3 linked regions of the Macaca mulatta genome follow. The protein of the gene in region 2 purifies or fractionates together with the protein of the main gene of each other region. This does not show direct contact. Links are inferred from orthologs where the notes say so. Each region holds a gene or a part of one and is shown on either strand. Other genes may lie near its edges. The genes, in order: SRPK2, SNRPA and SF3A2.

What was found.
Region 1: the proteins of SNRPA (region 2) and SRPK2 purify together in Homo sapiens (affinity purification with mass spectrometry; 4 studies listed by BioGRID and IntAct, with this or other methods). This does not show direct contact. The link is inferred for Macaca mulatta from reciprocal best matches to the Homo sapiens genes SNRPA and SRPK2.
Region 3: the proteins of SNRPA (region 2) and SF3A2 fractionate together in Homo sapiens (co-fractionation; 3 studies listed by BioGRID and IntAct, with this or other methods). This does not show direct contact. The link is inferred for Macaca mulatta from reciprocal best matches to the Homo sapiens genes SNRPA and SF3A2.

Annotation. Positions count from the first base shown.
Region 1 is NC_133408.1:144,699,732-144,702,430, forward strand, and holds the end of SRPK2 (SRSF protein kinase 2), read right to left. Parts: intron 2,264-2,699; coding exon 2,079-2,263; 3' UTR 613-2,078; downstream 1-612. UniProt on the Homo sapiens protein: Serine/arginine-rich protein-specific kinase which specifically phosphorylates its substrates at serine residues located in regions rich in arginine/serine dipeptides, known as RS domains and is involved in the phosphorylation of SR splicing factors and the regulation of splicing.
Region 2 is NC_133424.1:51,869,857-51,873,607, forward strand, and holds the start of SNRPA (U1 small nuclear ribonucleoprotein A), read left to right. Parts: upstream 1-1,505; 5' UTR 1,506-1,708; coding exon 1,709-1,781; exon of another isoform or gene 1,782-2,375; intron 2,376-3,751. Other genes in the region: ACTMAP (actin maturation protease), read right to left, coding at 1-97. UniProt on the Homo sapiens protein: Component of the spliceosomal U1 snRNP, which is essential for recognition of the pre-mRNA 5' splice-site and the subsequent assembly of the spliceosome. U1 snRNP is the first snRNP to interact with pre-mRNA.
Region 3 is NC_133424.1:2,990,394-2,994,044, reverse strand, and holds part of SF3A2 (splicing factor 3A subunit 2), read right to left. Parts: intron 2,931-3,651; 5' UTR 2,894-2,930; coding exon 2,768-2,893; intron 1,805-2,767; coding exon 1,733-1,804; intron 1,617-1,732; coding exon 1,570-1,616; coding exon of another isoform or gene 1,541-1,569; intron 320-1,540; coding exon of another isoform or gene 297-319; coding exon 187-296; intron 1-186. UniProt on the Homo sapiens protein: Component of the 17S U2 SnRNP complex of the spliceosome, a large ribonucleoprotein complex that removes introns from transcribed pre-mRNAs.

The sequences.
Region 1 (2,699 bases), on a different chromosome or scaffold from region 2:
CAACATGAGCAAAAACTGCATTAGACAAATTTCATTCAAGTATACTATCACCCTGATAAAAATCCTTTTACCCTTAGGGAAGAAATAAATTGTGCTCTATGGTTCTTGTAAGGATGTTTCTTACAGAAATCATGGATAGTATCACCAGTCTACAGCCACTATCTATCACAGAATTTACATGGAAACCTACAGCCTCATTAGAAAAACTTAGCATGCACATTTCATAAAGAAATGAATGAATGATCCATTCTGCCTCACTGTGGTATGAGATGTAATGGTAATTCCTAAGAGGGTTATGTGTCTTGTTTCCTAACAGCAAATGCTGTTTTAAGTTTGCAATGATCGAACAAATGCAGTCAGTATGTTTTTGATGAACCATGGATGAAAAGAGATCACTGAAATTCTAAAGAATCAATCTATACTATAGCTTTTCTCCTAAATCCCTTCTGCCCTTAAAAAATAATAAATGATTTCCTTATAATAAGCCTTAATGCATGTTTTACAACTACATCTGCTGCAACAGGAATGCTGGTATTTAGTTTTAGTGACACTACTCTGATAGCAAATGTTCACTGATTCTATCATTTATAGGGCAATGACCAAGGCAATGTCTGGAAAAAAAAAAACCGAAACACTTTAATTTTTAAGACAACTGCAAGCACCTCAAACAATGGATTATTGTTACAACACTTGTTAGCTTTTCACAATCTAGTTATTGCAAAGGCATATGGATAAATGTTAATGGACAAAGTCAAAAACGAGGCACCTTAATGAATGTAAAATTTAAAATAAAAAGACATTCAATCCACTGACGTCTAAAAGAGGCTAAATATACCTCTATATATTACATTCTAAAATTGTATTGCCTACTATGGTTTGTGTCCTGGAGTCTACAATTAATTTTAAGGAAATGCATAAACAAAACTGTGTGCAACCTGCAAAGGGAAAATCATTTTCTCAACTTCATTTTATGGAAAGACAATGAAAAAGCTAGTAAAATTTGTTGTAGCCACACGTAAAGCTACCTATGGAATGAATGTGATCACTGTTACCTTTGAGCTGTGAGGAGTATTCTGCCCACTGCACTGCAAATTGTATATACCACACCTTGTGTTCTAGACAAGCATGATCATGCTTTTCAAAAAATATACGTATTTTTTCATTCCACACAATGAACACGTTTCTCTTTTCCAATTTAATCTATGTAGAGCTTAACTTACAGCGCCCAGAGGAGGCAACATGACATGGTACTGAGCCATCACATTTTTAAAGGGAAATTGCTCTTCTTTAAAAGTACTTTTAAAAATATGCAAAAATACAAATGGGACTGCTAAATTATAATGCATATTTTAGAATGAGAAGCATATATTTTCTTCCTTTAAAGTGCCATATAGAGAATGACATCTTACAACCCAGAGCCACTTTGTTTAAAATCCAATGTGAAAAGACTGTTATGGAATGAAAAGTTTGTACAACTCCTTGGAGCAGTTAAAGTCTGCTACATGCAACATAGGCTACAAAGCACTCAAGACTTGGTAGCTTTTCTGAAATTTGAGTCCCCCTCCCATATTTAATGGAAAGTAACATTTACAGGGTGCATTTACATACACTATAATACAGGAATGATGTCCCTTTGCCAGAAGATAAAATTGTACATTTCCTTGCTATTTCTTGGTTCCAACTTGATAATTTCTTAAGATTGTAAATTATATAGTACTCAGCTAAAATATTTCTTCATAAATAGTTACAAAACCTGCCAAAACACAAAGGGAAAGTATTTTTCATTCAAAAAAAGGACATTTGAATGTCACACAACACAAGAAACAATGCTTAGAGACATGTTATTGTTTCCAGAAGAAAATGGTCAGTAAACTACTTAGCTGAAGACGAAAGACTACCCTTCCCCAGGATCACAGTGCACAAAAAGCAAAATGTCAAACAACAGTACCTCAAAGCAAAATAAAGGTCTGAGGATGAAGCCAGCTCACTTGTAATCCTGTTAAAGAATGAGAGTCACCGTTTAGGTCCAATGTACTGGGAACATTTGCTAGCTCAGAATGCAATATTGGTAGAATTTGCTAAGAATTCAACCAAGGATGCCGAAGGCATTCGCCAGCTGAGGCTCGTTTTTCTGGAACCATTTCTAACATCGGGATCAGGAAATCTGTAAACTGTGCAGCATCTTCATGGGGCCAGCCATACTTTTCCACAAGTACATCAAAGAGGCTCCAGGGCTTCAGCTTGGTGATGTGTCGCAGTTCTCCTATAGGGGGAAAAACAGGCCAATGTCAAGAAAGCTCCAAATCTGCATTCCCCATTGTTGGTCCAGTCAGGCTCTTTTCAATGAAGCGGACAACCACCTGCTCAACACTTACACGGCAACAACAAAGGACACCAGCTTTTCCCCGCTAGGCAGTAATCATTACATGCACATATGACCAAGGCATATTTCAAGTAAGCCTGGTGGATGTAAATAGAGGTTAATTAATAGTTCATTCACATTAGTTCTAAGTTTCTTTAAGTAAGTGGAGTGGGCTCACTTTGCCCAGAGTGTTTTCTTTTCCAAAGGCTGAAGCAAGCCACTCTCATTTCAACCTGGGATCTTTCGTAAAATTTGCAAACTTGAGGCCAACCCAAATCAAACACCATTCATGTCTACGCATTTGTTGTAAAATCTAAGATCCTAGGACATTAATTTG
Region 2 (3,751 bases):
GGGGTAGAGAAGGAGATGGAATGCTGCTGGCTTGGGGTACAGGGGTTCTTGGAGGAGGGATTGGTGGCTTTACGGGAGGAGAGCATGGAGAAGTCATTTTGGGGTCTACAGGAGGGGCTGAGAGGTTCAGAAGGTGGGGAGGGAAGGATCCTCCAACGGAGAACAGTCTCAGGGATGGAAATTTTAAAAATTTACGAGCTGAGTTCCAGAATCTGGGGGCTGAGCAGTGGGTGTGAAAGGACCACAGCTAATATTTGAAACCATGGGAGCAGGAATTGAGGGTGACTCAAGTCATAAGGCACCTGACAGTTAACAGGGTGGGGTCCTTAAATCCGGAACCGGATCTGTGGTACCGGTTGGGTTACCTTGGGAGTCTTAGGTGGACAGTCAGTAGGAGTTAACTCATTCTTTGGGGCTAGATGTGGAAACACATGAGTAAGTTTGGGATATGAAGGCTCAGACCTAAAGTGAGGTGCCTTAAGGGTGCGACTTAGGAGCCCAGGGCTAAAGATTCGGAGAACTTAGGTTCACTACCCCCTCACATCCCAGGCCCGAGTTTGGAACCTTTGGGCTGACCTTTGAGTCAGAGGTCAAGAGGTCAAAATGGACACCTGGCAGGAAAAACGGCCTAGTTGTGGAGAAGGTCCCGGAACCAGAGCAACAAAAACGTCTGTGGGTTGGAGAAGACTCAGAGATCAGAGGCCGGTGGGCGCCGTGATAACCGGTGGAAAAGGGAAGGGAGTCAGGAAGTAAGGTACACCTCCCACTCCCAGAAAATGGCGGCCCCCGCACACTGCTTTTCCCATATCACGGAGTATCACACGCAACAGTGCCCGCCCATTTGGCGATCACGTGACAGAAAACGCAGCGCTGGGGGGAAGAGGCGGGACTTCAAAAAGGATTGCCTCCGGAAGACATCACAGCGCCAGACGCGTCCCGATTGGCAAAATACTAGTGACCTTTACTGATTGGTCCGTAGACCCGGGAGTCACGGAAGGAGGTGGGCTTTCAGGGAGTCGGGCGGGGTTTTTCTACCTAGGCGGGAACTCAAATATCATTTTGATTGGCAAGAGCTGAGCCCAGAAACGAGACTTGCTCTGATTGGTCAAGCTACTGCGTTTCCGCGCGGAGATTGCCTGGCAGAAAGGCAGGGGCGGTGCCAGGAGAGAAAGCTTCGTGGTTTGGTCTCAGGAAAGTAGCAGGCGCCGCTTGAGAGAACTGCGGTCCTGTCGGAAGGTAACCTGGGGTGCAAACGACCATCGGCGGCGGGCGAGCGGTACGCTTGGCGTCCGGGCCTTCCTGGGCCCGTCTGAGGAAACTTGCTGCTCGAGGCCAGGCTGCCCAAGACCTGTCCCCTTTTTTCTATACTGGCTCCCACATCCGGGTTTTTCTCCAGGACGGCCCTTCGGATGCATGGGCCAATGGGAGTCGCCATTTAGGGCGCTCCGCCCACGGGGTCGCGTAGAGCATCCTGGAAGTCGTAGTAAATCTCTCGAGAGTTCCCTCTGCACGCGTGCTGGAGAAGCGGGTCCTACGCACGCTTTGTTGCCCGCGCTTTCCCTCGGTCCTTCCCCCTACTCCCGCCTTACCTGACTTCCTTTTGGGAGGAAGATCCTTGAGCAGCCAACGGTGGGACAAAGGATTTGGCGAAACCCAGGGCTAAAGTCACGTTTTTCCTCCTTTAAGCCTTACCTCAACACTTCACTCCATGGCAGTTCCCGAGACCCGCCCTAACCACACTATTTATATCAACAACCTCAATGAGAAGATCAAGAAGGATGGTGAGTTCTCGGGATAGTCCGGACTCCAGACTGTCCCGCACGGGCTGGTCCCTCTTCCACCCCCTGCATCCGCTTCTCTTTCTTAAGTGTTCCTCCAGCCAAACTTCGAGTTAACCCCTTGGCCTTTACACAAACTACTTCCTGTCTTCAACACTCCATTAGTTCATCTTACACTCTGCCCTTTAACCTGGTCACTGTTGCTCATCTTACAAGGTTTGAGGTCACAGGACCCTTCCTCCAGGAAGCCTTCCCTTGTCCCTTCACGTGGCTGCCGCTGACTTCCCATACGCTGAGGCCATCTCCCATCACGCCCTGATTCCTCTGAGCTGTCGTGGGGCTCTCTCTCCTCCCAGTGGCCTTTGAGCTCCGTGAGGGCAAGGACTGGGGCTTTCTTGGGTCACCGGCTTTTTCAGTGATCAGCTCACAATGAAAATGTACCGTAATGGTGGCTAATGCTCTGTATCATGGGTTAGTCTATGTGCTTTTATATAAATGTTGATTACATTTAGTTCTTACAACAAGCTTGTAGGAAGAAGGCTGTTGTTATTCCCATTCCTCAACTAACAAACTGAGGCAGGGCGCGGTGGCTCACCCCTGTAATCCCAGCACTTTAGGAGGCCGAGGTGGGCGGATCACCTGAGGTCGGGAGTTCGAGACCAGTCTGACCAACATGGAGAAACCCTGTCTCTACTGAAAATACAAAATTAGCCAGGCCTGATGGTGGCACATGCCTGTAATCCCAGCTACTCTGGAGGCTAAGGCAGGAGAATCGCTTGAACCCGGGAGACGGAGGTTGCAGTGAGCCGAGATCACACCATTGCAGTACAGCCTGGGCAACAAGAGCGAAACTCCGTCTCAAAAAAGAAAGGAAAAGAAACTGAGACAGGGTGATGTGACTTGCCCAGGGTCACATAGCAAGTAAAGTGGTTGAAGCCACCGGTATAGAATTCTGCTTAAGAACCCAATTTTTGGCCGGGCGTGGTGGTTAAGCCTAACACTTTGGGTGGCAGAGGCAGGAGGATCACTTAAACACAGGAGTTCAAGATCAGCCTGGGCAACAAAGCGAGACCTTGTCTCTACAAAAAAAAAAAAAAAAAAAAAGGCTGGGCGTGGGTGGGGTGTGTCTGTGGTCCCAGCTACTCAGGAGGCTGAGGTGGGAGGATCGCTTGAGCTAGAGAGGTTGAGGCTGCAGTGGGCTATGATTGCACCACTGCACTGCAGCCTGGGCAGAGCAAGAACCTATCTGAAAAAAGGAAAAAAAAAAAACTCAGTTATTGAAATGGGAAAGACCGTCTCACGTTCTCAAGTAAATTATCACCTTTATTGAATCTCATTTTCTACATCTAAAAACTGAGCAAAATCATAATACCTTTTTTGCATGGATGTTGGGTGAGATTAAATTAGCTAAACCTTGCAGTATTTCTTTTTTATGTTAACTGGCAGCTAGTAAGGGCTGGATAAATGTTAGCTCTTATCACTTCAAGAAAATTGTCAGGAGAACCGAAGGAGCTTACTGGGATTCAGTTTGAGGTCACCAGTGAAGTTGCTCTTGAAGAAAGCAAAACCAGCAGCCGGGGCACTGGCTCACGCCTGTCATCCCAGCACTTTGGGAGGCTGAGGTGGGAGATCGTGTGAGGTCAGGAGTTCAAGACCAGCCTGGCCAAGATGGTGAAACCCCGTGTCTAGTAAAAATACTTTGGGAGGCTGAGGTGGGAGATCGTGTGAGGTCAGGAGTTCAAGACCAGCCTGGCCAAGATGGTGAAACCCCGTGTCTACTAAAAATCAGCTGGGTGTGGCAGCGCACATCTATAGTCCCAGCTACTTGGGAGGCTGAGGCAGGAGAATCACTTGAACCCTGGGAAGCAGAGGTTGCAGTGAGCTGAGACTGCACCACTGTACTCCAGCCTGGGTGATAGAGACTCTCAAAAAAAGATAAAATAAAACAAAACCAGGAATGTAAATTTTGCATA
Region 3 (3,651 bases), about 49 Mb from region 2:
TCGGGCTCAGCCTGACAGCTCCCAGACACAACGCCAGAGGCTGCAGGTGGGTGAGGGATGGCCACCAAGGCCAGAAAACAGCGGCTCAGGAATGAGGGTCTCAGGGCTGCGCCTCCTGCACTGGAGCCCAAAGAACCTATTCATGCAGCAGCAGCGGCTGTGGCCAGCGCCGCTCCGGGCACTCACCTTTGTAGCCTGGGCGGCCGATCTTCACAAACTTCTTCACCTCCACCTTGACCTTCTCAGGTGCAGGCTGGGCAGGGGCCTCCTTGGCCTCCTTGGCGGCTCGCCGGGCCCTGCAGGCAGGATGGACGTGGTGCTGGGGCCCCTCCACACACAGGCACCAAGGCCACGGGCCCCCTGACCTTGGAGCTCACTATAAACTGAGGGATGAGGAGGGCCAGGGGCCTGGGAGGGGCCCTGGGGTTTGGCTGAGAACAGGGATAGGACAGGCACGTTCTCTTCCTGTCATGCTCCTCACTGTCCCTGGCTGGGGTCCTACCAACAACTCCATGCCTCTGCTTTTTTTTTTTTTTTTTGAGACCGAGTTTTGCTCTTGTGGCCCAGGCTGGAGTGCAGTGGCGCGATCTTGGCTCACCGCAACCTCCATCTCCCAGGTTCAAGCGATTCTCCTGCCTCAGCCTCCCCAGTAGCTGAGATTACAGGCATGCACCACCAAGCCCGACTAATTTTTTGTATTTTTAGTAGAGATGGGGTTTCTCCATGTTGGTCAGGCTGGTCTTGCCCTCCTGACCTCAGGTGATCTGCCCGCCTTGGTCTCCCAAAGTGCTGGGATTATAGGCGTGAGCCACTGCGCTCGGCCTTTCTTCTTTTTTTTTTTTTTAAATAAGACTGAGTCTCGCTCTGTCGCCCAGGCTGGAGTGCAGTGGCGCCATCTCGGTTCATTGCAACCTCTTCCTCCCAGATTCAAGATTCTCCTGCCTCAGCCTCCATAGTAGCTGTGATTACAGGTGTGCATCACCATGCCCAGCCTAATTTTTAGATTTTTAGTAAAGATGGAGTTTCTTTTTTTCTTTTTTTTTTTTTGAGATGGAGTCTCGCTCTGTCACCCAGGCTGGAGTGCAGTGGCGTGATCTTGGCTCACTGCAAGCTCCGCCTCCCGGGTTCACGCCATTCTCCTGCCTCAGCCTCCCGAGTAGCTGGGACTACAGGCGCCCGCCACCACGCCCGGCTAGTTTTTTGTATTTTTTAGTAGAGACGGGGTTTCACCGTGTTAGCCAGGATGGTCTCGATCTCCTGACCTCGTGATCCGCCCGTCTCGGCCTCCCAAAGTGCTGGGATTACAGGCTTGAGCCACCGCGCCCGGCACAAGATGGAGTTTCACAATGTTGGTCAGGCTGGTCTCGAACTCTTGACCTCAAGTGATCTGCCCGCCTCAGCCATCCACGCCTCTGTTCTCTAATGCTCCCCAGAAACCGTACTCCAGCGCCCAGGGAGGCCCAGACCAGGCTGGCTTCCCGGCCGTGGAGCAGTGGCCCGTGAGGCTCACAGAGACTTGAGCCGACAGCTGCTGGAGCACCAGGAATCGAAGGGGCACGGGGTACTCACAGGTTGGTCTGGTGCTTCTTCCCCTGGGTATGTGCCAGGTAGCTCCCCTGGAGTGGAAAGGAAACACACATGACTCGGGCCGGGCAGACAGACACAGGCAGGTCCCCCTGACGTCAGCCACTCAGCCCGCCGCGAGCTGCCCGGAGCCGGGCAGAGGCCGCACCTCATTGTTGTGAAGCGTCAGGCACAGCTTGCATTCATAGGAGCCCAGGTGGTTCTTCATGAAGTACGGGTCCTGGAGGGGAAGAACAGGCGCCCGTTAGACAGATCGAGGCCTGCTGCGGTCAGGGCCCTCAGACGCAGGATCCCCTTTCTGTACAGGCATGGCTGTCCCTGACGGTGTCAAGCGTTTCTGAAAACGGGGGATCCGGCGGGAGGCCTTTGTGAGCACAGGTGTCACCGCCTGGGGCTGTGGCCCAGGCTCTGAGCAGCGGGGGTTCCCAGGGAGCCCCCCGCACCACCTTCCTGGTGGTTCTGAGTCAGAGGGAGGCAGAGTCAGCACAGCACTCCTGGTCACTCCCAATGCAGGGAGCTGTCCGCTGCCCACGCCACCACACCAGTGGTCGGCACAAGGCAGACACAGGCACAAGAAAAGCAAATGGGCTACACTGAAGGCCCAGAGACCCGTCCATCTCCAGGCCCTAAGCCGGGGCAGCCAGGCGCACGCCTCTCGTCTCAGACGCTGGAGTTCAAAGGCTAACTCCACCATCTGTGGCTGGGGCACCCCTCCACCCGTGACGTCATCTGGAAGACAGGGACAGTGACAGAGCCCTCGTCATAGGCCAGGTCCGTGGGGCGTGTCAGGGTACACAGAGAGTGCTCCAGTCCCGATGTCCACAGTGCTGAGGGGACCCGGCTCATCCCCGCCCCTGCACAAGCTAAAATCAAAGGCTGCCCTTCACCACATCTGGCTGGACTGACATAAGCTCTCCCCACTCCCAGAAAATTAAATGATGCGAAACAGAAGGTTTTGGACAGAACAAAACACTCTCACACGGGGCTCAGAGCCACAGAGGGTCTGCTCTCTAAGGCGGACAGATGGGAGCTGTAGCTACTCGGGGCAACAGGGGAGCATCTGGACACGGGGCTGCACCGCCCAGGCTGGGTGGAGGCCCAGGAAGAGCCTCTGGCACCCTCTCCAGGGCTGTCCTGGAAAGCCGAGCCCCCGCCACAGGCGGCTGCACGGTGGCTGGCCCACCTTGTTGATGTCGATGGTCTCTAGGGCCAGCTGCCGGAGGCGCTCCCTGCGGTCACGGTTGCTCTCGGAGGAGGAGGCCACGCCCCCGCTCCCGGTCTTGCCCCCAGGGCGATGCTGGAAGTCCATGGTGACGGCCTTGGGGCTTTAGCAGACCGGGAGACACCTGTGGAGGCCAAGAGGAGAGAAAGAAGGATGGCTCAGAACTCACGGCTGCTGCTGGGACCTCCCTGGGCCAGGCCACCAGGCTGGAGCCTGTGACAGCCCCTCACCCTGCACTCCCAGAGCCAGGGTCTAACCAGCCCTGAGGGGGCCACCCCAAAGTGCACCCAGTCTCTTCCAGGAGGCCGAGGCCCACTGTGGACAGGCACAGACACGAGGGAAGCTGGAGCCTGTCTCCAAATGAGCGTATGTGAGGGATGGAGAGGAAGCCACTCCAGCCCAGAGTGCCAAGGCCTGGAGACCTGAAATGGAGCGGGGAGCCCAGAGAAGGCATAAAGGGAAGACAAGGCCAAATTCTCACAAACGAGTCACCACCACCAGGGAGCCTTCCCGGACTGCCTAAGCCCCCAGTGTTCAAGCCTTCCTCTGAACTCCCTCTCTGGTTGGCTGCGCTTACTTATCCCCAGCCTAATTCTATCTCTTGGGTTCGCTGTAAACTTATTGGGAGGTGAGGACACTGATCTTTGTGTCCTGACTGGGTAACATCCGGGAGATCGGTCACATCTGCTTGTGGCGCAGGAGGGCTCTGCTGAGTCCCCAACAGGCAGCCTCCTCTCATCTCCTGGCACTCTTCCCCTTGAGTCACGGAGGCTGTGCTGTGGCTGTGAACGGGGAGGAAGGGGCCCCAAGGCAAGGGACACGGGTGCCTCTGGACTCTGGGAAAG